Linked DNA regions of Drosophila melanogaster. Changing the gene in region 1 together with any one later gene gives a genetic interaction. Each region holds a gene or a part of one and is shown in the gene's direction. Other genes may lie near its edges.

Region 1 (6,119 bases):
TCGCCATCTAGAGCGGTCTTGATCACGAATCCCGGCTTCGGGTGGATGAACCTCACCTCCACGCCACGCTCCTTCTCCAGCTGCGTGATCTCTGACTCGTAGATCTTGCGGTTCTCAGGATCCTGGATCTCATCCACGTAGTCGAAGAAGAGCTTGCGGAACTCCTCCTTGCCAAAGGCCTCCTGGAATCGGTTGAACTCGTCCCTGCTTATATCGAGCCGCTCATCGTCACAAAGTTTGGATTGTTTATTACGCGATCTAGATGCGGACATAGCTTTCTCGCAGGCACACTTCACTCACGGAGGGATCTCTTCGGTCTCCTCTTCTCTCCTCGGCACTTTTACTACACAAATACAAATTTTCTTATCACTTCGACGGGTTTTGATTTTTTGTTTGTTTCTATTTGTTAGGGGTTGCTCAGTTTTGGGCCACGTTTCCTTGGCAAATGCGTTGGGTTTCTATTTCTGGAAGGTTCTGAAAGTACAAATAAACATAGATGTAAGTACGGACAATCTTGTAAGATAATCAGCTATCTTATATTACGAATGTATAACTGCAATAACAACAAGACAAGTCGTTTGGGAAAAATTACTAGTTTTTCTGTTTCGGCTATACATATGTAAGTTCTATGTATACCTGGCTATTTTATAGTTTTGCAAATAAACCTTGAGGGCATGACTAAATCTTGCGGAACCTGGCGAAACTCTGGAAACTTTCCAATCGAATCTGAGATAAGCCAAGTAAGTACCAGGTCCCAAGGTTGCCCTAGGTCCTGACCATTTCGCAGCCAAAAAAAAACACCGAGCTGGCATTTAATCAAATTCTAATCAGCAGATAGGCAAATAAATATTAAATCAATGACGCAGAAAGGTCGCTGTCGAAAATCACCGGCTATCCGCCGGATTTACGGGCATTATGTAAGTAGATACACATGTGTGTAGATGACTACAAACTGACCACGAGTTTTTTTTTTACTTGTCGGCCAATAAATAAATAAACGAACTGCGTAGTTTGTGAAATTCTAGGAGAACGCGTAAATGTTTTCTGTTTTTTTTTTCGAGTTTTGGTGCGATGCTTTCCCGACGAGCGTTTTTATGAGAATGGGAGCGCTACGCCCGAAACGCCGGCAAATATTGGAGGCTCTTTGCGAGTCGAGCGGCCCACAGAGAGAGCGTCCTCTGCGCAGTGAGGGGCTTTTGATAAGCGCGAAAAAAACCACTTGCCCCAATTGTTTTTGTTTAGCGGGATTCTGCCCCCGCAGCCCCTGCGCTCACACACACATTATGCGATTTCTGGCGCAACCCAACTAATTGTACAATAAACGACCACATCTCTACACACATATGTATGTATATACAAAGATAATGTTTGTATTGCGTCTGCCAACTGATATTACAAACTTATGTACATACATATATGTGCAGGAGGGCGGGGGTGGTAATTGGGGGGTCAGTAAGATGATTCCCTACGGCGTGTGTATCTTCTCCATTGCAAGGAAAACGAGGAAAATTATAACAGTTACGTGACTAAAAACACATGTTTGCGCTGTGGGAGGGGGAAAACTCTGTCGTTTGATCGATACTAGCTGAAACCCATTGATTTTCTGGACAAACCGGTCGCAGTGGACATGAAAACCCTAACTAAGCAAATGTTTTGTTATATTCCATGACACCGGGTAGGTAAATCCGTTAATTTCACTCAGGAAAACAACTTAATGGCACGAAAACTCCTCCACTGAAGATCTCCTGCTTCTCCACTTACCTAAATTGAACACAATTATGCTTTGTGAACACAACGGCACTGAATAAAATAATTGTCTGTTAAATGGGCTCCTTTGCCAAAGACTCTTTGATGGGAGTTCGAGTTTGACGTTCTAGAAACTTTTCCGCTGACCGGCTGCTCGTGTTGGTGTGCGTGTTGTGCTTTGGTATTTTTACGCAGGGGATTTGGGAAATTTGAAGACCCGGTATTTTATGTGAAATATGTTATGTGCAGATGTGGGCCCTGGTCACACTGCCCGCTAGAAGTATATCGATAGGTTCCGATAGGCTCGGACAAATAACATTTCTAGCAATGGAGTCCAATATATATTTAGTTTTTCTATTGACGTTTCTGCTGTACAATAATGCCAGAGGTGGGCATCAATTAGTGTTAATCAATTACCAAGTGCTTGGTGAAGAGAGTGCGCAAGAGAAATTTCGATTTTATGGGGTTTTAGAGCCACATATAATGCCTTGAAAAGTCACTGAGTGTTTTGGGTTTGTTTTCATATGCTGCGGTTCTGGCCAATTGCGTTGCGTATTTGGCCAGGCCAAGGCGAAAAAAGTGCCCTCGGAATGCTGATTGGTGAAAGAAGCACCTGATGGATCCCACAGAATGTATTATATAAACGGATGTCGTGGGCGTTTGCAGCATAAGTGCATTTTCTCAATGATTTACCCACGCACACCACCGTTCTGTGTGTGTATACAGAACTTGCTGGGGCGCCTGTGTGCATGTGTGTGTGTGTGTTAGTGCTGGTGGCGTTTGTGTTGGTTGGGCCGTCCATGTGTGTACATATGTATATGCTATGTGCATATGGTTTAATGTGCATTTGTTATGTTTCAGCCGAAATCAGCGATCATCTGCGGGAGGACATACCGGACTTAGACATGGAGCTCTCCTCCGCCTCATCCGCCCATCTCAATGGCAAGGAGCTACCGGCCGTGCCACAGAACTCGGTGCAGACGCATCCCAGGTGATTATATCTTAAGTCTTGAGCCCATAGCTTGTAGCTCCCGCTTCCGCCCAAAGGCTTTGTATTGCTAATCTCATTTCCCTCCTAATTGCCATGCTGCTAATCCTTAATTAGGAGACACATTAAGAGTAAGCGCCGCATGAAGAGAAGGTAAAACCTACACGACTCATGAACTAAAACATCATAAACTGGTTAACTTTTAGTTAAAATTTTGAAAATATTCATAATTTTACTTAAAAAACCCCATTTTTTTTAAATATTTTATAGTATATTATACTTTTATACCCAAATGTTAACAATTAAAAGCTGCCCGTTTGCGTAACCGATTCTTCTTCAATCTTATTAAACTCTCTCTTTTTTTTATCAGATACAAATGCTACTCCTGCGAGCCGCCCTGTCGGGATCCCTATGAGTTTACCCACACCTGCCAGAATGCGATTCAGGTGAATACTCCACCTTAAACTTGATTAAAACTTAAATGTAACTTAATTTCCGAACTTCAACAGTGCTGGAAGTCGCGCACACGCGATGCCGATGGTCAGGTGCAGGAGTCACGCGGCTGCAGCACCTCGCCGGATCAACTGCCCATGATCTGCAGCCAGAACTCCTTGAAGATCAACGGGCCCAGTAAACGCAATACGGGGAAGTTCGTGAATGTGGTCTGCTGTGCCGGTGATTACTGCAATGAGGGAGACTTTCCGGAACTGCTGCCCTTCGACAGCAATGATGTGACGGTGATAACCGCGGATACCAGTAGCATAAGCAAGATGCTCGTCGCCGTTCTGGGTCCTTTTCTGGTCATCGCTCTGCTGGGCGCCGTGACCATCTTCTTCATTCGTCGTAGCCATCGCAAGCGTCTGGCTGCCTCGCGAACCAAACAGGACCCGGAAGCGTATCTGGTCAATGATGAGCTGCTCCGCGCCACCAGCGCCGGGGACAGTACGCTGAGGGAGTATCTGCAGCACTCGGTGACCTCCGGCTCGGGCAGCGGATTGCCGCTGCTAGTGCAGCGTACGCTAGCCAAACAGGTCACCCTGATCGAGTGCATTGGACGAGGCAAATACGGCGAGGTTTGGCGCGGTCACTGGCATGGCGAAAGCATCGCCGTGAAGATATTCTTCAGTCGCGACGAGGAGTCCTGGAAGCGGGAGACAGAGATATATAGGTGAGCAACAGATTATTTGTGACTCTGTAATTTGTAGCTGTAGAAATTTTTAACTGTTTCCCCAGAAGAAAAGTGCCCTAGTCCAGTCATGACTACCTACCTGTTGCTCTATGAATCATAAATAATCGTTCTTTGTTTTTCAGCACCATATTGCTACGACATGAAAATATTCTGGGATTCATCGGCTCTGACATGACGTCGCGGAACTCGTGCACCCAACTTTGGCTGATGACGCACTACTATCCACTGGGCTCGCTCTTTGATCACCTAAACCGTAACGCCCTAAGCCACAACGATATGGTATGGATTTGCCTGTCCATAGCTAATGGGCTGGTACACTTGCACACAGAGATATTCGGCAAGCAAGGCAAGCCAGCTATGGCCCACCGCGATTTGAAGTCAAAGAATATACTGGTCACCTCGAACGGCTCCTGCGTGATAGCCGATTTTGGACTGGCCGTTACCCATTCGCACGTCACAGGACAACTGGACCTGGGCAACAACCCCAAAGTGGGCACCAAGCGCTACATGGCCCCAGAGGTTCTTGATGAAAGGTGTGTGCTTATTGGCAGTACAAAAAAGAATATTTTTACATTAACAATTTGTCTATTGTAGCATTGATTTAGAATGCTTCGAAGCACTACGCCGGACAGATATTTACGCATTTGGACTTGTCCTCTGGGAGGTTTGTCGCCGCACCATTTCTTGCGGCATAGCAGAGGAGTACAAGGTGCCCTTCTACGATGTGGTGCCAATGGATCCCAGCTTCGAGGATATGCGCAAGGTGGTCTGCATCGACAACTACAGGCCCTCCATTCCCAATCGCTGGAGCTCGGATTCGGTAAGTCGCTTTCGATTGCCATTCTCTAGATCTTTGATCTCATTGTTGTTCTCATTTTTTAGTTAATGACTGGCATGTCCAAGCTCATGAAGGAGTGCTGGCACCAAAACCCCGACGTGCGCTTGCCAGCGCTGCGCATCAAAAAGACTATACATAAGCTGGCTTCCGCTGACGAGAAGATACGCCTGGACTTCGACGAGGTCTGCGTTTAGTGGTAGTAGTCGAGCCTTAGCTGTAAGCGGTAATTTAGTTGTACCACATAGGTAGTCTAAGATTCATTCATTGACATACCCTGCATTTCACACTATTAGTTCGTAGGTATATTATTCAAAGCTAAGCCAAGATCCTGCGTGTTGAAGCAAACTAATCCAAGTACAAGACCCTTGGGAGCTTATAGTTATATAGAAGACTTTAACATATTTACTTTATGTTTGGATTGACTTTATCGTTTCCGTTCCACCGTGAGCCTAGCCTGAAAAGGGTGCCTTTGAAATTGCCTTAAGTTAAAGTTAGCATCGACTCTAATGTATGTTCTTGGGATATCATCCTGTAAAGTTGTCATTTCACTATTTACCATTATTCATTGTTCATCAAGTGCCATTTGCAATTGAGAATTGTAAACGCCTTAACTTTAAGCTCACTCTTTGAACTTTACACTAAATTCATAACTCTAGAACTTGTCCATGCTATGATAAAACCATAAGCCACACCACCAACTGACTTGCTATCTTAGTTAGTTAAGCCTTTAGGACTTAGATACCCACGCATAGAAGCATACACACCTACTTGTATATTGTACAAATGGCAAGCTATTTAAGTTTTGTATAGTCTAAACGAAATGAAATACACGAATAGGCATTAAACTTTGGGATAACTGGGTTTATTTGCTCGGTTAATGTCAATTGTCTGGCGTCAGTACCCGGAAGCTATCGTCGTTTTCTTCGTCTAGGAAGAGCAGACGGAAGATGTCGTTGAAGAAGTCGGGATAGTAGTCGCATGCGCGTTTGCAGTCCGGAGTCCAGTTGATTTCCAGCAACTGGGGCTCCATCAACTTCTCCTTATCGTCCTTCCACCGCAGCATGATGTCGGCTGCGTAAAGAGCTCGTGATTGGGCACAAGGAGCCAGGCCGCAGGGTGGATCTGCTTGACTGGCGCACTGAAGCACCTCGAGCAGCATGCTACAGATCTGCTGCTCCAGAGCCGACCAATCGTTATCCGGATACTGTTCCTGCCAGAGCGTCAGGAAGTCGTCGCACTTGACGTGATGCAGCTGCGCCTCCGTCTGGTAGTTCATCACCGTGTAGTGTTTCTCGTAGTCATCGAAGTGATCCAGCGTGAAGGGATGGTTTGCGAAACGCAGGAAGAACTTCCGGTGT
Region 2 (4,608 bases), on another chromosome or scaffold:
ACGATGTTGCCATCCTTATTTCTACACATATTGGGTGTTGCCATTACGCACTTTGCAGTTGTTTTGAGTTCCCGTTTTGAAATCTACACAAGTACTCAATTCTAATCGATAATATAATACAAAAATTTAACAAAACATGTGTAGGAATAGAGATGTCAATTATTTTCAAGTAAAATTTACTAGGTTTGAGTCGTAGCTTTAACATAGATAACATCAACAGAAAAATGCTTTCATTTTTCCAGCCATCTAGGCACATCTGTTTACATCAAAGCTCTGGCCAATCCACATTAAGCAACTGAGAACGCCATAGTAGAGTTCTCGGGCTACCAGATACCTGTTACTCTGTTAATGGAAGTTCGAACGAAAAATATCACCAATTTTCTGGTATGTCAATTTGAATAGGGAAGAAATAATAATATTAAAAATTTTTTCAGATATGTGACATTTTGGGCGGTTCATGAGCAACTCACAAATGATTTTGGTACATCTATAGAAATTTTCAAATCAAGTACTATACAAAAAACAAAACATTTTTCAACAGTGTGGGCGTGGTAGTTTTGGGCGGTTTGTGGGCGTAAGAGTGGACGTGGCATATCGATAGAAGTTTACAAGATTAATAAAGTGATGAAAAAATTCAAAACAAATTTCAAAGGTGTGGGCGCGGAGGCGTTTACCTTTTTTGGCGTGACAACATCAGGAAACAAACTTGCTCTGCATATATGTATGTATCTGGAAACTGCATGCTTACTCTCAACTTTCTAGATTCAAAATTCCTGCGATCGAGGCTCATGCGGACAAATCGACTCGGCTGGTAATCCTGATCAAAAATATATATGTATATATTTCGGGTCGGAAATTCTTCCTTCAACCTGTTACAGATACACATACTCGGTTAGTAAGAGTACGAACGAAAAAGTTAAAAATTCGTTTTGGCGTATCGATAGATACGGAAGGACCAAAATTGAAATAATTTCAAACTTGAAATTTTTAAAAAATATTTTCATGTTGTAGTGTTTCTCAATTTGATCGATATTTTACAAAAATTTTGAAATATCGAACTTGACTATAGTGTTCCATCTCGGTTTTACATAGAACATTGACCGTCCTACTCTTAAGTACTGCTATAAAATGTCAGTTGTATATGAATTGTGTGAGAATGAGCTCATGTATTACACACACATCCTTTAACTCGCCAATTAAATTCAATTATCGTTACCTAAATTCGTTGGTGAAGTTAATTGAATAGAAAGCAACATTTAACATTTCAATTGTCGCTACATACCTGTACAAAAACAGGGTTGATACCACAAACTATTATATTTAGAAGAGCGCAGGCGCGTACTTTTGGAAACGCCCTGGAAATTAGGATAGTTGATTCTTATTGGCTCATTTTTTCTAGTATGTATATATATATATCTTCTTCTGTGGTGTATCATTTGCTTTCGGTCTCTTATTGGCTATAAGCAGGATTATTTTGTTCTTAGACTTTTACAATCTGGTATCGGTATCGGTTTCCCACTCCTGCTGCTTTTCTTTAAACGATGTCAATACCAACGAATATGGTGTTTCATATTCAGTTTTCGCACCTATTTCGTGTTGGAATAATCTAGTCCTCAAAGAAAGTAACTACTGTGTTAAATTTTTTAACTAAAATCGAGTATACTTTCTTTTATCAAACTATAAGATGTAACTTCAATAATGAGAAATATTACGTATATAAAATATACGTTCCAAATATATTATAAAAGTGGACCGAAATCTTAAAACAAACAAAAATAATACACACAATTTAAGAAACTTCACAAAAAAAACTGTGTTAATAAGGCGAAATGAATCTAAACGGAACTTGAACGTAAGTCAACAAGTGTTAACAAATTTATCTAACAAATATAGAAAATACGCGCACAAATGTTCATAAAACAAAAAGTTCGTCTGACCCCACATCATTAAGGATTTCCTAAATATTTAAATTTTAATGTGGACATAAGGCCACATAGTGACGAAATAAACATTTTGGTTGGTTTCTCTGTCTGTCTGCAACAAAACGTTATTTTAAATTTCGAAAATAAAATCATTAGTTCGAAAAATCAATACTTACAATCGCTTAAAACAGTGCAAAATGTCGTAAAAAGTCTATACCAATGCGTATATATTCCATATAGCATAAACAAGTGTAAATTGTACTCTTCGGTAAATTGTATACGGTAAATCGGTAAGTTGTATACTCCTTCAGAACATTGAATACTATCTGGCTAAAATGTTCTATAAATTGTATACTAAACTCAAAATAAAACGTAATCGAGCTTATCGGTTTAAAGTGATATTTAAAAAAATATATATTGTTTTATTTATTCTTATATTTTTGTACCCGTTAGTCGTAGGATAAAAGGGTATATTAGATTCGGTTAAAAGTATGAAAGGAAGTGTTTCCGACCATATATTAAGCAGGATCGAGTCGGGTCGATCTGACCCTGTCCGTCTGTCCGTATGAATGTCTCGAGCTCAGGAACTGTAAAAGCTAGAATGTTGAGATTGAGGATGCAGCTTCCAGAGACATAGACACATCGACACACACAAAACTGCTACTCCCACACTTTAAAACCGCCCAAAATGCCACGCCCACGCTTTTGAAATTTTTTTTCGTAATTTTAGGAGTCTTGTGTATTTCTATTCATTTGCCAAAAAACCTGTTGCCACGCCCACAATAACGCCCTAAAGCGTTAGACGCGTTTGCGACGCAAACACTTTTGAATTTTTTTAGATTTTTCTTTGTTTTATTGTTTGTCTTGCGAATTTTCTGAGTCTATGGCAGCATGGATATTCACAGCCATTTTATTCACTTTAGCAGTTTTCAAAACACAAAAGCCAAATAGATATAGTTTAGTGCTGCCCGCCTCTGGCACGTCTTGTGGAAAGTGTAGAATCTGTTGTAGATGCAGGACCACTGGGCAGCGACCCTTAGTGGTATTGTAGTTCCTGTGGTGCTTCAACTTGGTGTAGTTAATCAGACAGAAGAACGTCATGCTGGCGACGGTCAGCTGGAAGAAGGGAGCGATCACGGCGCGCTTCGGGAACACGTAGTTGTACTGCCAGCGCCAGCATGCACGGTTCACGGCTCCGGCCACAGCGTTGGGCGTCTTGTTGCGGCGTCCCAGCCAGGCTTTACCGTAGAAGCGAGCGGGGTCTTAGGGCCCGTGCACCTTGGGGTTGTACTCACCTGGATAGTCACCAAATGACACCGCGTTCCTTCGATACTGACAGTATGTACAGTTTGTCAAAAAACTTTTTACACACTGTGAAATAGGTTGAATTTTTGATTTTAAAGGTAAAAATTAAGGGTTCTTTGCTTAATTAAACGCAATTTTTTATAAAATATAATTAAACAATATTTATTTTTAAGTCAAAAAAGAAATTAAAAATATTAATTATACAAGAAAAGAAAAAACAAATTCCAAGTTTACACAATTTTGAGATTTATAAGTAAAATAAATATTCGACAATTCACAAACTATATGTACAAGTGTGAGTTAGTCTTGCGTATTTTTATCGGTATACCAAAAACACTGTGGCCACGCCCCTCCTTTGACCTACAAAACTCCCAAAATTTTCACGACCACACTTCTAAACAATTTTTATAATTTATATGACGAAATATTTTTTTGTTATAAAAAGGGTTAGTTCTTTCATATTTGCAAAGGGGCTGTTTAATGTTGCTTAAACTTTTAAACCTGCGATGTTAGGGAATTACAAGGGCTCTACAGCATTAAAAAAAATTCGTGATAAAAACGTATTTTTTTGCTGAGTTTTTTATTTCTTGTATTGTTTTTAAACAACGGGTGACGAAATATTGCTATTGCCGTTACTCATATACTCATTTCGATCTAAAATTTGGACAAGATGAAATCGTACTCAGCATACGCATATCGAGATCGAAACATTTTCAGTGTGCAAATAGCTATCGAAATGAGAATGTCTTCTCGATGTCCAGAAGAAGTCGGTATCGAGAAGAACCGATCTCGGCTTAGAGAAGATCCGATCTCAGTATAAAGGAGAGCCAATCTCGCTTTTGGGAACAACAACATTCTTTTTATAGTTATTTAATCAATAATTTAACTAAAAAGAAAAAAGCATGACTGTTAATTTAAAACAAACCTTGTTTGGTACATCCCCAGGTGACTTTGACAATGCTCCTGGCGAGGCTTATCAAACCTCTGATGGACATCGGTCTTCTTGAAATATTACACTAATTTATTAATAATTTATTTATTTACTTAATTTCTTTAAGCAAATGTGTAAAGCAAATTTGTGAATATGTCGAACATTCAAGAAAAAACCAATGCATACACATAAATTATATTAGGTGAATATTCCACTCAAAGCTTATTGTTAATATATGTACATGTGCACCTATGTACATAGTCGCAAGTGTGAAGCACATGCATTTATGTACATACTTACATACTCACCCGATGCCAAAAATTGTAACACTTACTTACAGATGGAGAAGGGCCGGCACTTACTTTATACCACTACAGGAATCTTAAAGTGGAATAAACAAAACAACTCGCATTAATAGTACTCTCGGCTAGTAATCATCCTGGTGGACGC
Region 3 (4,799 bases), 8.3 Mb from region 1:
ATTTCCTGTGACTTAATTTTTGTTGTATGTATGATGTTTGTTGTCATGTATATTCCACAAATGTAACTTTGAGTGCAATGAACTTTTTGTGGCTGGCAAATTGGGTTAGCACATGCAATGTATCCCTATTGCCTGGATTTATGTCAACCTCGAGCACAATTAAAATCAATAGAGAGCGCAGTGAAATCATTCAGGTGTCTGACAATTCCTGCAGGACATTCGTCAGTCACATTTATTGCTGGCTAGTGGAAAGTTCGACAATGGAGCTGCGTCGGAAAATCGCTCTGCATATTCTGCCCCTATTTTTAGCCATATTTCTATTCACCATGGGCGAGGCATATCTGAAGAGTGTCCGCGTGGATGAGATTCCCTTTGCCGGAAGAAAGGCCCTGGCCAATCGGCGGTCCAGCGGTATTCATCTCATCTCCAGTCTGGAGCATCAGCGCACTTTTCTTCATCTCTTCCATGTGCCCTGTAAGTTAAGCAATCTATTTCGCAATCGAAAGTGTTATATACAAGAATGGGCCATAGTTTTTCCACATTTAACTAGAATGTTCTAGATCAAGATCTCTGTATTTTGAACAAGGATTAGAACATAGGTTTCTGTGTGATATCTTCCCAATTTACAATAGTTCTTTTCAGTTTAAAAGACATCCACAACGCATTGAAATCATTTTAAGAGACGAATACGGCTAAGCCTAAAAGTATGCTATACTTTTTCACAATTTATCATATGTCGCAAGGAAACAATGAATAAACTTCTTTAGCAACTAAAATATTTAAATTTTTATCTCCTCAAGCATATGAATACTTTTATTAAGGCTAGCAGAATTACAAATCGCTTAAATTTTTACATTTCAGACATCATATGCTTTTATGCCGCGAAGGGCAAATGGCCATATGTGCCTGGATTCATGAAATACCGGGTTGACAATGCAGCTCGCAGTTTCTTCAATCAGAACGACAGTTTCATCAAACAGTTTTGCACCAAGTGGATTCAGGTGAAGGAGTGCTTTCGTCCCTTATTCGGTGGGTGGCAACTCTTTATGGAGTTCAGACATAGATTGACCTATTTAGGCACCTCTTTCCAGACAAATCAAATAACACAGATGTTGAAGTGGAAACGCTCGATGCAAAAATTCAGGGACAGCGTTGTAATTGTGACAAATTGTTGCTCTCAACGGAGCCACCTGTACCGGTCGTCTACTTCGACAAGAACTACATTGGAAACGTCAGTTCGGAAACGATTTTGAATACCATTGAGTTTCTTGAGAGTTTCCTGCCACCGCCCACTAAAAAACACAAGCGCAAGAATCGCGTTCGCGGGCGCGTAGATGATATGGATATTGAATAGAAATCGTTCTTTTTCATTCGCATATACCTTCGTAACGCACTTAGATTTTAATCATCACAATCATAACCAAAAAATCATCGCTTAAATTTGAATTCAAATTCGGTTGTCAACAGTTTTCTAGAGATAAGTGGTACACTATCTGTAATGCTCAGAATATTATGGCAAAATAAAAATTCTTTAATTAACAGAGCGCAACTTAGCTTGTTAATATAGATTCTTGTTCATGTTTTTGTATTAAATGTAAAAATATTTATTAAAAATTGCTTTAAATGTTTTTTATCGATAGGCATAGCTATACCGATATTAGTCGATAGATATGCAGCTGGTCTTAGTTTATCGATAGTACTATCGAAATTGTCATCGCCAATTGGATTCTGGTATATATTCGCGGTCGCCGGACGGTCACACTTATTGCACTTACTCCAGTTGGAAAGGCAACAGTGTTCGCGTCGCGGAAGAAACAAGAAAGAAAAACAGCGAGAAGCACTGCAAATGCATTGGCTGCATTTAAAGAACAACCGCGATTAGAGGAAGTGTCTCAGTACACAGTCGAATTAGCCATACAAATTGGCAAAAGTGTTATAAAAGAGAAGCGCGGTGGTGTGCCAACAGCCCAAGAGCAAATTCTTTTGCATTCGCTTTTGAACCGCTTTCATCGCGAGTTCCCGTTTCTCTGTGTGCGTGAGCAAAGAGCGTGTGCAAATAACTTTTTGCCGCGTTGTCCGCCTGCTGCGAATTTCCAACCGAAAGAGGACAGCGAGAGCGCGAGAAGAGAAGAGAGGATCGAGTGATCGGGTGAATGTCGCTGAAACACCAGAAGCAATCCTACCAACCGCTCCCAACGGCGGCCGCCATGGACAATCCGGCGATGATCCAGAGCAGCGGTAGCAGTGGGAGCAGCTCCTCTGAGGAGGGCGGGAGTCGTGAGGATGTGGCCAATCTATCGCCGCTCGGACTGCCTACGACCTACTCGTCACAGCAATTGATGCCCTCGGATACGGACAGCATGGAGGAGGAGCGGCACCGACTGCGTCCCCACCACCATCACCACCACCCACTGGGCGAGCACCACCACATCCCGGGCATACCACCATCCGCCGTCGTGCCATCGCGTCTCTCCAGCGTGGGCAGATCGCAGTGGTTCACCGTTACCGTGCTATGCTTCGTCAACCTCATCAACTACATGGATCGCTTTACGATCGCAGGTGAGTCCGGTGATACCTCTTTGGGTGTCCTATGGGATTCCATACGTTTTTTGGGGGGCTTGTTGCCGCAGTAGATAGGAAAATTTGTTGACACTATTGAAGAAGATTGCTATAGACCGCTGTAAAAATCACAACTTTTGTGTGACCAAAAGATTGGGCAGCCCAAAGCACTTATAGTATGTATTCATTTATATATCAGGCAAAAGAATAATAAAAACATTTAAATTGCACAAAATCTGCTGACAAAATCATAATGTTATTAATTAGCAGCCGCTAATCAACAATACTTGTGACCTAATCAGTTGAAATTTATACCTCATCGTCGACAATGCGAGTCGTCGCGTTCCCATTGTTTACAAAATGTACCATAAAGATTGCGAGCGAGAGAATTTGATTAGTGACTAATCTACTTACAAGTGAATCACGCGATCCAAAAATATTCATACAGAGCATTTTATCATTCGATTCGCTTTGCACCGAAACTCGGGACATTTCCACTGGGTGGGCAATCAATCAAGACCCATTTCGCCTAAACCTAAACATATGTATATTATTTCTAGCACTCAGGTGCGATAAAATGGAGTGAGTGAGCACGGCGGTGGCGGCACCTGACCTGCTTAGCACGGCGGGTAATGGTAGTTGCGATCGGCGATCAGAAAGTCCCCCGCCCGCGTGACAATTACAGGGTAATCTCATGTTTCAGTCGATAAATACAGACACACTGCCCACATAATTGTTGAGTTTATTATTATTAAGAACATTAGCGAAGGAAATTGATCTTAATTCATGCGGGCGGCATTTCATTGGACACTTGTTGAGTGCCGAAGTTCTTTTCACTGTTTACTTGTGTCTGGAAAATGAGACTACTACCGATTGCACTTGCACTTCGACTGGCGACATCTTAGTTACACAAAACGCGGTGCAAATCGATTGGAAACTTGTTTCAGGTTACATGGCGAAACAAGTTGTGACTGATTATTATACGTACAAGTCCGCCTCAGACGACCGTTTAATATGCATTTCTAAATATGTGTATATTATAGCTATAGTTTCGCATTTTCTTCGTGAACCTGAACAGCCAGTTCTTCCTGAGTCAGCAGAACTTTTCCACTCAAGGCCATGTGATAACGTCTTTTACTGTATGTGTAGTTGCAATTAATTTGCAATTATAAATCACTGGCTATTAGTTATCAGTTGATTGCCGCAGCGGCAATTGGAAATCGATCTTACAACCCTTTTTTTTCGGTTGCAAATCATAAGCTTTTGATTCGTGTAAAGCCACCGGATCGAGTGACTAAAAAAACATCATACGACTTTTTGCAACAGAACAGGAAGTGGAATTACTCACCGAAAAGGGGCGATAGCACTTACATACCGAGCCAAACAAAATCGCTGTTTACATATTATATTTAATATAAACACACATCGCTACTCGCCACTCGGAAATTTTCATTATTTCCATGGGCGCCTAATTGATTGTTTATTTTGAGAATTCTGCGAGCGCAAGGCGAAATAGAAAACTCATATAAACAATGGTCGGTCGCACAAGGTTTTTGTTTTGCCATTTCTGCCAGTGGCATTGTTATCATTATCAACCCCCCCCCCACTTTTTTGGGCCTTATCAAGAAGTGGCTGAAACCAGACGCGCTGCATAATCAATTGCATTGGATCACCAGCTGCAGTGCACGTGGTGTTTTGGGTCACTTTTTTGCAGTGATTAGATTACCAAGCGATTATTTGTTTAGCTTCTGCTAACTGACTGCTCTGATTGCTTGGCCCTTTTGTATTTAATGTGAATTTCGGCATTTGCAACGTTTCCGTGTGGTTGTATATAACAAGCAAAAATACATGCATACATATGCATATATTTATTTGGCGCACATAGACGTGTGTATCAGCTGATGTCTGCCCAACCTAATGGAATGCATTTAATTATAATTTTAAGTGCGTCTCGGCCTTTGGCTTCGACCTCCGACTTTGCTGAAATTCGCCTGGTTTTTTAAGCTAAAACCGACCGACTGACGGTAGTGGTGTGATGTTTTGTAACCACCTCGTTCGGTCAAAAAAAAAAAAAAAACACTGGGAAGCCCCCCTCTTCATTCATGATCGTGATCTGTGTGAGGGTGGATGGGAAGGGGGGGGCGGGGCTATTCTGTTGTTGACAGTAAATTCAATTTCTGCACCGACAGCGAACTTTGATCATCGCAAAAAGAACTGGCATTTATTTTGGTCAACAGATA
Region 4 (7,685 bases), on another chromosome or scaffold:
TCATAAACATTGAAATTATTTCAAATCAAGATGGAACTGAAAGCTATTTATTTGAAAGTAGTGTAGACCACCCACCACCGACTGGCAATTTTTTTCATTTTTGCGGAAAAGCGGTGGTGTCCCCGTGTTGACAGCTCAATTACTCACATGACACAAAGCCTCTGCGTGGCCCCCTGCAATTATCGCGGCAATTATTTGCAATTAGAATTGAGTTAATTTACTTAAAAAAGGATTTTCTGCCGTGCCTGCGCATTTTTGCCCCTTGACGTTTGCACTTCGGCACGTGTGTGTTTTGAGTTTTCCGCTTTTGTGCAATTTGCGTGCATAAATTTTTATTGTTCCAAAGGGACTACATAATTATTTTGTTATTTTTCGTCGTTTTCACTTCTGCTTTCGAGGAGAGTGCGCTTCATTACTATTTCGATTTTACTGCGACTGTATAATGCTACCCATGTTTGCAATAAGTTCGCGTTTAGTAGTGTTAAACACGCAATAAAAGCGAAGGGAGGGAGGAGCGATCGCACATAAACATGCTCGCATTCTAAGCACACGTACAGTCCGGGCCAAGAAAATAGGTTCGCTTGACTTCAATTCAAAAGATTTCGTAACGAAAAAACTTTAGTTTCGTTGCTTTACCCATTAAAAAAAATTGGCAGTGCATTTGCGAATAGAATTTCGATTTGTTTCCGCTTATTTTCGTACCGAAAACACTCTGCCGAAGGAGGGCTTCATCGAATTTTAGGTTCAATTACTCGCCGGTCCCACGCACGAAAAAATTCGTTGACGCTGCCTTCTCTTAAACTCCTCCCCTGAAACTACGTTCCCTTCATTTTTGTTGTGGTTGCGGTGGGGTGTTTACAGTTTGATTGTGGCTGTGGGTTGACGCCACCTCCAACACCACCAAAGGCCATGCACTGCAAACAAATTAGTGTGCATCTAAAAACAGCAATGTCTATTTAATTCGAAAAAGAGTTAAGTAAAAGAGTACTCAAATGTTAAATCTTAGTTCTTCAAGTAACATTGTTATTTGAAATACAAATGTTGCATATTTTTCTCGCCGTGTGATCTGCTGCACACAAACACGTTCGCGCTCACGTGCTGGCGCCCCCAACTGCAGATAGGGCATTTGATTTGTTTAAAACAAAACTTTCGTTGCCTGTATGGGTGTAGTGGTGTGCACTTGGCTGCCCCAAACGCACACTGAAACCAATTACGAGCACAGGAATACGAATACGAATACGTCACTCAGAGGTCTTCAGAAATCAGGGCTGCGGACTAGCTGGTGATAAAGAAGGGATTCAATAGGGATACATACACTAGATTTATACTCTCTTAGGGCTACAATAAGTACATTACTAAATAGATAAATATTAAGAAAATGGAATATAATAACTCAATTTTCCAGTCTTAAACTTATTAATAACTGTAGAAAGTAGTTTGTGTTACCTTTAGATACTTTAGGATGGACCTGCTGCTTCGCATCCCTGGCGAACTCACACCGATACACAATACGAATGCAGTTTGGGCTGCGTTCAGTTCGTCACTCACTCAGTCAGTCAGTTCGTCAGTCAGTCAGTCAGTCAGTCAGTCAATCAACACTCGGCGCACTCAGTTTGCTGGGCAACCCGTTCGGCATTCGTTGTCGATCGGTCGTGTCGTGCAGTTGACTTCTGATTCGCGCTCGCTGCCATTTCCACTTTGCGTAATTTACGGCGAAAATAAAAAATAATACGGCAAAAGGCTTAAATAAATGAAGTTATTACGGTGATAACGATTGAATTGAAGACTCGCAGCGGAAATGTAACTGCTGAGGCGACTGGATTGGATGCCCGATCGTCGTGGAGGGTCGCGTTTGCGATTTGCATACGAATAAAATAACATTTTGATGCTGAATTCTTGTCCGTGTGTGTGTGTGTGTTTGTGCGTGCAATAAAAATAAATAAAATAATATCTGCAATCTCAACATCATCATGTGTAGGTTCTTAGTTCGTACATAGTTCTCGTTTGCCTCGAGTTGCTCGATTTTTGAGTTTTCCTCCTCGCATCAAATCGAAACTTTGGCCTGTTTGGTTTTGGTCTTTATCGCGCTGCGTTTTTGTGTGTGCATTGTTTGTTTATTTTTAAACATGGGTCCAAGTCCCTATTTTCTCTGTCTGTTCGTTTTTTTCTTGTTGTTTTGTTGTTATTTTTGTGGCACTAGTCGTAGTACCCTTTACCACGCTTTTTGCCCGCTTTCAATGGCAGCGGAAGTGCTTCTGTACTTCTGTACTTGTGTACTTGCCATCCATCCACCTTGATTTCTACTTCTACCTGGCTCCCATGATTTACGCCTTATTGTCACTGCCGCATTTATGATTGATTATCGATTGGAATGGTATGATACGCATGCGCGAATGCGTGCCTGCCATAAAAGTGCCTCGATATCCTCGCTCCTCCGTTTCTCCAGTTGAGTTATGATCCCTGACTAGCGATGCACTGAAAAGAAACTCACAATGGAATCACTAACCAGAAGAATGTACACAGCCGATTTGAAATGCAATTCTTCAATTTAGTTACTCTAAATATAAGACTAAAAGTAGATTCACTTTAAACCAAGAACCATCAATTGAATTTGCTTTGAAAGCAATGAAGAACTTTCCTTCGAGTGTGGTTTTCTTGAAAGCAGAAAGAAGACTGGGCCACTTTGGGCGGGTACGTTGGGTACGTGATCTCAGCTCGGGTAATATGTAATTGCGAATTACGATTATTGATCTTTAATTGATATGGGGAATGTCCCATATGATAATGGATCATAAAGGACTTATTATATTTATATTTAGTATCGTTCAACTCGAGATGCATTGAGAGACAAAACAAGAAAATCGTTTAAGTGCCTAAAGAAAGCCACTTTGTTGTTTGGAAAACCATCAAATCTCCGAATAAACATCATAAATATGTTGAATATGTTGTTATGATCGTGTAAATAAAGTTTTTATGTAATTCCTGCGAATTAATGGGGTAGTTTCCCCTTTTGAAAACCGACTGATTATGTCGAAAACCTCACCTGCAATCGAGCTTTGCACAAACAAAACGGGGGCATTATCGAAATTTGTATGCCTGCCCCACTCAAATCAATCGAATTCCACTAGAGCACCATTGCCACCTAAAAACACACGACACTAGTCAGCTGGGTAAATACGTAGGGTAGAGTTCTCTATCTCCACTAACCCCCTCGATAAGTCTGTCCGCCAAGTGTCACTCCGTTTGTATCCTGAGTTACTGAGAAGGAGAGACCATGTGAACTGGTACTCCACTGTATGTTTAATTTTGGGATTAGTTATAAGCAAAGGTGTACCATTTTCGATAAGGTACCGATTGTTTGTTCGTAATCCTAATCTTTTGGAAGAGGTTTTTAAGCTAGTTTTGGTAATCAAAATGGTTGTGTGACTTATCATTAATTTCAATATATTCTTGTAGGCTAGTGATAAAGTTAGAGCATTCTTAGAGCAATATATCTACCGCCGGAGGCTCTGGTTGACTTTGGGCAATTAGAAAAGTGACTGCCCCCAACCACTGGTCCTCGTTGACCACGCCCCCTTCCATGGGCGACAACATAAAATTGTCAATGCTGCGAAAAAAAAAAGAAAACGGCAACGCCCCAAAATTTTTAGGCCCGAGTTGAGCGAGAAAATCGAAATTAATTCACGCAACGGCTAATTTGGCCAGAAATATGCGCCATTTGGTCTGTCGGGAGCCCAATCGAGAGGTGTTTTCTTGTTGTCCAAGTGCTGCACTTGTTGATTTATCGCCGGCATTTAATTGCTTTTGAAATTGGATTTACCAGCCCGTTTGCTTGCCACAAAAATGGGTGGTTCGCCTAGCAAGTTCGCCTTGTGTGGCTCGCCGATTTTTGCTCCAGCTTGCACAAATTAATTGCTACTACAAATTTTCATTCAATTAGGTTTTGTCACTTTTAAATTTAATCAAACATTTTTTGACACCTTGAGTAAAGCAACGAGATTGAGGCTAAGACAGCCAACTGGAGCGCAGCCACTTGGCCAACGGAGAGAAGTTCCTCAGAAATGCTGTTAACATTGAAATGTCATAATTCAAATGGAATTGTTGTCTTTGGTGGGGAAAAGTATGGAGGGGGGGGGGCGTAGAAAACAGGGGGGAATACCCACAATTGTGGCGCTGACAAGTCGAACACCATTTGGTTATCATTTGCGCTCATTATGAGATGCAGTTCTCGCCACTCGACTCGAATATTACTGCAGTACAGTGGAGCCTAACTAAATAGAATGAAGACAGTGGGTTTTTATTGCTATAGTTTAGTTTTTTCTGTTGATAAACCAATTTCTTAATGCCAATTTTCTAAGAATCGATAAGGCAGCCCGAAAACCAGCACATGAAACTATTATCTGTGCTTCATAAATTTACCTATTATTCATATATTTTTGCAGAATTGTTGTGTTCGAAAACTAATACTATTTATAACGTTGAAAAGTGCGAACTCTTTTCGTTCGCAACCTTTGTGGTTTTTTGGAATTCAAAGAACTGTCAGACCTCAAAAATACCCCCCTTACAATAGAATCGTTTCACAATTGACGTCAGCTGCGATTGAATACGAACAATAACCATATTTAATAGATAAAAATAAGTTTCCAACGAAATCGAGATTCGATTAATCAGCTAGTTGGTTAAGTGAAGCAATAATGGCCATTATTCTCAATGAGAAAATGTTGCAGGCAATTTGCATGCAATTGGCCGCCAACATTGAAAGTGGGAGGAGTCCGTTCATGACAGGAACCTCCCAACGACTTCATTCACTAGCCAGAAACACGATGCACTGCCAGGCCCCATGGATACTCACTCCTCCTCCAATTTCTGCTGGGCACTTGGCCAAGCGGGTAAAGACACTCGAAGAAAAAGGGTCACATAAGTTGCTGACTTCCCCTTTTGTTACGTATAAACATTTGCTTGAATTAGATGCAAAGTTTTCTATAACATTTCTCTCAGTGCATTCGAATTTTGCATGCGTTGTGTTGTGGGCGTTGCTGAGACAATCTAAGCTCGATGATGAATGCCTGCAATTCTATTTGTATTTATTATTTATATTTGCTTTTTACTTGCTCTTTTCACAGACTATCCGCCCGCTGATAGTTATACCGGTTATCGGGTGACTCCACCCCAAATCAACGGCGGCACCACCACCACCACCACCATCAGCAGCGGCAGCAGCAACAACAACAACATCCACCACATCAACAATAACAATAACCACATCTGCAGCAGTGGCAGCAGCAACAACCTCAATTTGACGACAGCAATCAGCGGCAGCAGCAACAGAATGGACACCGACGATGTGGAATCGAACACAAGCAGCGCGATGTCCACACTGGGCTCGCTATTCTCCTTCACATCGCCGGCGGTGAAGAAGCTGCTGGGCTGGAAACAGGGTGACGAAGAGGAGAAGTGGGCGGAGAAGGCCGTCGACAGTCTGGTGAAGAAGTTGAAGAAGCGCAAGGGCGCCATCGAGGAGCTGGAGCGTGCGCTCTCCTGTCCCGGTCAGCCCTCGAAGTGTGTCACCATTCCACGCTCGCTGGACGGACGATTACAGGTGGGTCACAAGCCACATGGCCAGCTAAGTAACAGATGATTATTAACTCCTATTTCCGAATATCAGGTCTCCCATCGCAAGGGTCTGCCGCATGTGATCTACTGCCGCGTGTGGCGCTGGCCAGATCTGCAGTCGCACCACGAACTGAAGCCACTCGAGCTGTGCCAGTATCCGTTCAGCGCCAAGCAGAAGGAGGTGTGCATCAATCCGTATCACTATAAGCGCGTGGAGAGTCCGGTGCTCCCGCCAGTACTCGTTCCTCGCCACTCGGAATTCGCGCCCGGTCACTCGATGCTGCAGTTCAACCATGTGGCCGAGCCCAGTATGCCGCACAATGTGAGCTACTCGAACAGTGGATTCAACTCGCACAGCTTGAGCACCAGCAACACATCGGTGGGCAGTCCGAGTTCCGTCAACTCCAATCCCAATTCGCCGTACGACAGCTTGGCGGGAACACCGCCACCCGCCTACAGTCCCTCGGAGGATGGCAACTCCAACAATCCGAACGACGGTGGCCAGCTGCTGGATGCTCAGATGGGCGATGTTGCCCAGGTTAGCTATTCGGAGCCCGCCTTCTGGGCGTCGATAGCCTACTACGAGCTAAATTGCCGCGTGGGCGAGGTGTTCCACTGCAACAACAACTCCGTGATCGTTGACGGTTTCACGAATCCTTCCAACAACTCGGACCGCTGCTGTCTCGGCCAGCTGAGCAACGTGAACAGGAATAGCACCATCGAGAACACACGCCGTCATATAGGTGAGTCGATTTTAGCACTTAAATTAACTTACTCACAGAGATTTCCCATCAGCAACTATCTTAAAGTGGTTAATAACTAAGATTACACATTGGTAATCTTAAATTAGAAAGCGACTTGTGTTTATCAGTTATAAAAATAGGCATTGAGTAGAGTAGAAAGCTATGGACTTCAAGAATCCAACTACCTGTCTTTTTAACTCAAAATGTTTCTTCTTCCCCAGGCAAGGGTGTTCATTTATACTATGTGACCGGCGAGGTCTACGCCGAATGCCTATCCGACTCCGCCATTTTCGTGCAGTCGCGCAACTGCAACTACCACCACGGATTCCATCCGAGCACCGTGTGCAAAATACCGCCGGGCTGCTCGCTGAAGATCTTCAACAATCAGGAATTTGCTCAGCTGCTGTCGCAGTCGGTGAACAATGGATTCGAGGCCGTCTACGAGCTGACAAAGATGTGCACGATCCGGATGTCGTTCGTGAAGGGCTGGGGTGCGGAGTATCATCGCCAGGATGTGACCTCGACGCCCTGTTGGATTGAAATCCATCTGCACGGGCCGCTCCAGTGGCTGGACAAGGTGCTCACCCAAATGGGCTCTCCGCATAATGCAATTAGTTCGGTATCCTAAGCTTAAGATGAGGCTCGAGTCCTCAATGGAGACGGAAGAGAAGGAACACAAAACCGGTAGCTAAATGATGAGTGCGTGTGAGTGAAAGCTAAGTGTGAAAAGACGTAGAGAACACAGGACAATGGAGAGAGCATAGGTCTGTAGGCCTGAGGATGGAGGTCCATGCCACTCAGTCGCAGATTTATATAGATGATGTACGGCAGCTACTCCAATACCCGCCCTTTGCCCATATTTTATAGTTTATCGTATGATTTTCTATGCGAATGTCATTCCTAACGCTAAAACAGAGTAATGAAAATGGACAGCGAGCTAAGAAACCAATTACAAAATGGTATAACTATTTACAATGATCTACATGCTATAATATTAATGATCTATGCCCATTGGCAAAACAGTTCTTGTTCAAGTCTATTTCAAGTGCTAATTATGTGTCATTGCAAAACTGCTTTAAATATAAAAACACATTGAATTAATCCTACCAACTTTAATTACATAAGGAACAAGTAACTTACGTAGGGATATGAAAACACTTATTGCAATACATTTCTTAAAATGATTTTGAAGAAGCCCTAGCTTATGTTTTATTTTTCTCATTTGCGGTTCGCCTTGGATCAACGAATTCAATGTTCAATATAGTTGATTTAAATATATATATGGTTTAACTAATTTTAAGTTGCAAACAAATCGAAAACATCAAACAA

What was found.
Region 2: of sax (region 1) and fuss, changing one suppresses a phenotype caused by changing the other (phenotypic suppression), as found in Drosophila melanogaster (one study listed by BioGRID).
Region 3: of sax (region 1) and spin, changing one suppresses a phenotype caused by changing the other (phenotypic suppression), as found in Drosophila melanogaster (2 studies listed by BioGRID).
Region 4: of sax (region 1) and Mad, changing one suppresses a phenotype caused by changing the other (phenotypic suppression), as found in Drosophila melanogaster (2 studies listed by BioGRID).

What each region holds. Positions count from the first base shown.
Region 1 is NT_033778.4:7,804,465-7,810,583, forward strand, and holds sax (saxophone), read left to right. Parts: upstream 1-2,019; 5' UTR 2,020-2,073; coding exon 2,074-2,134; exon of another isoform or gene 2,135-2,548; intron 2,549-2,607; coding exon 2,608-2,737; intron 2,738-2,851; coding exon 2,852-2,887; intron 2,888-3,104; coding exon 3,105-3,180; intron 3,181-3,243; coding exon 3,244-3,902; intron 3,903-4,045; coding exon 4,046-4,456; intron 4,457-4,517; coding exon 4,518-4,743; intron 4,744-4,805; coding exon 4,806-4,955; 3' UTR 4,956-5,603; downstream 5,604-6,119. Other genes in the region: Nop17l (Nop17 like), read right to left, coding at 1-272; TTLL12 (tubulin tyrosine ligase-like 12), read right to left, coding at 5,642-6,119.
Region 2 is NC_004353.4:975,451-980,058, reverse strand, and holds the start of fuss (fussel), read left to right. Parts: upstream 1-1,569; 5' UTR 1,570-1,852; intron 1,853-2,797; exon of another isoform or gene 2,798-3,293; intron 3,294-4,023; exon of another isoform or gene 4,024-4,608.
Region 3 is NT_033778.4:16,123,224-16,128,022, forward strand, and holds the start of spin (spinster), read left to right. Parts: upstream 1-1,757; 5' UTR 1,758-2,153; coding exon 2,154-2,559; intron 2,560-4,799. Other genes in the region: CG30095 (uncharacterized protein), read left to right, coding at 261-474, 862-1,029, 1,092-1,354. UniProt on the Drosophila melanogaster protein: Probable sphingolipid transporter that plays a central role in endosomes and/or lysosomes storage. Involved in TGF-beta-mediated synaptic growth regulation both pre- and postsynaptically via its function in endosomal storage regulation.
Region 4 is NT_033779.5:3,146,718-3,154,402, reverse strand, and holds the start of Mad (mothers against dpp), read left to right. Parts: upstream 1-1,649; 5' UTR 1,650-1,970; coding exon 1,971-1,974; intron 1,975-5,123; coding exon 5,124-5,599; intron 5,600-5,665; coding exon 5,666-6,356; intron 6,357-6,577; coding exon 6,578-6,984; 3' UTR 6,985-7,685.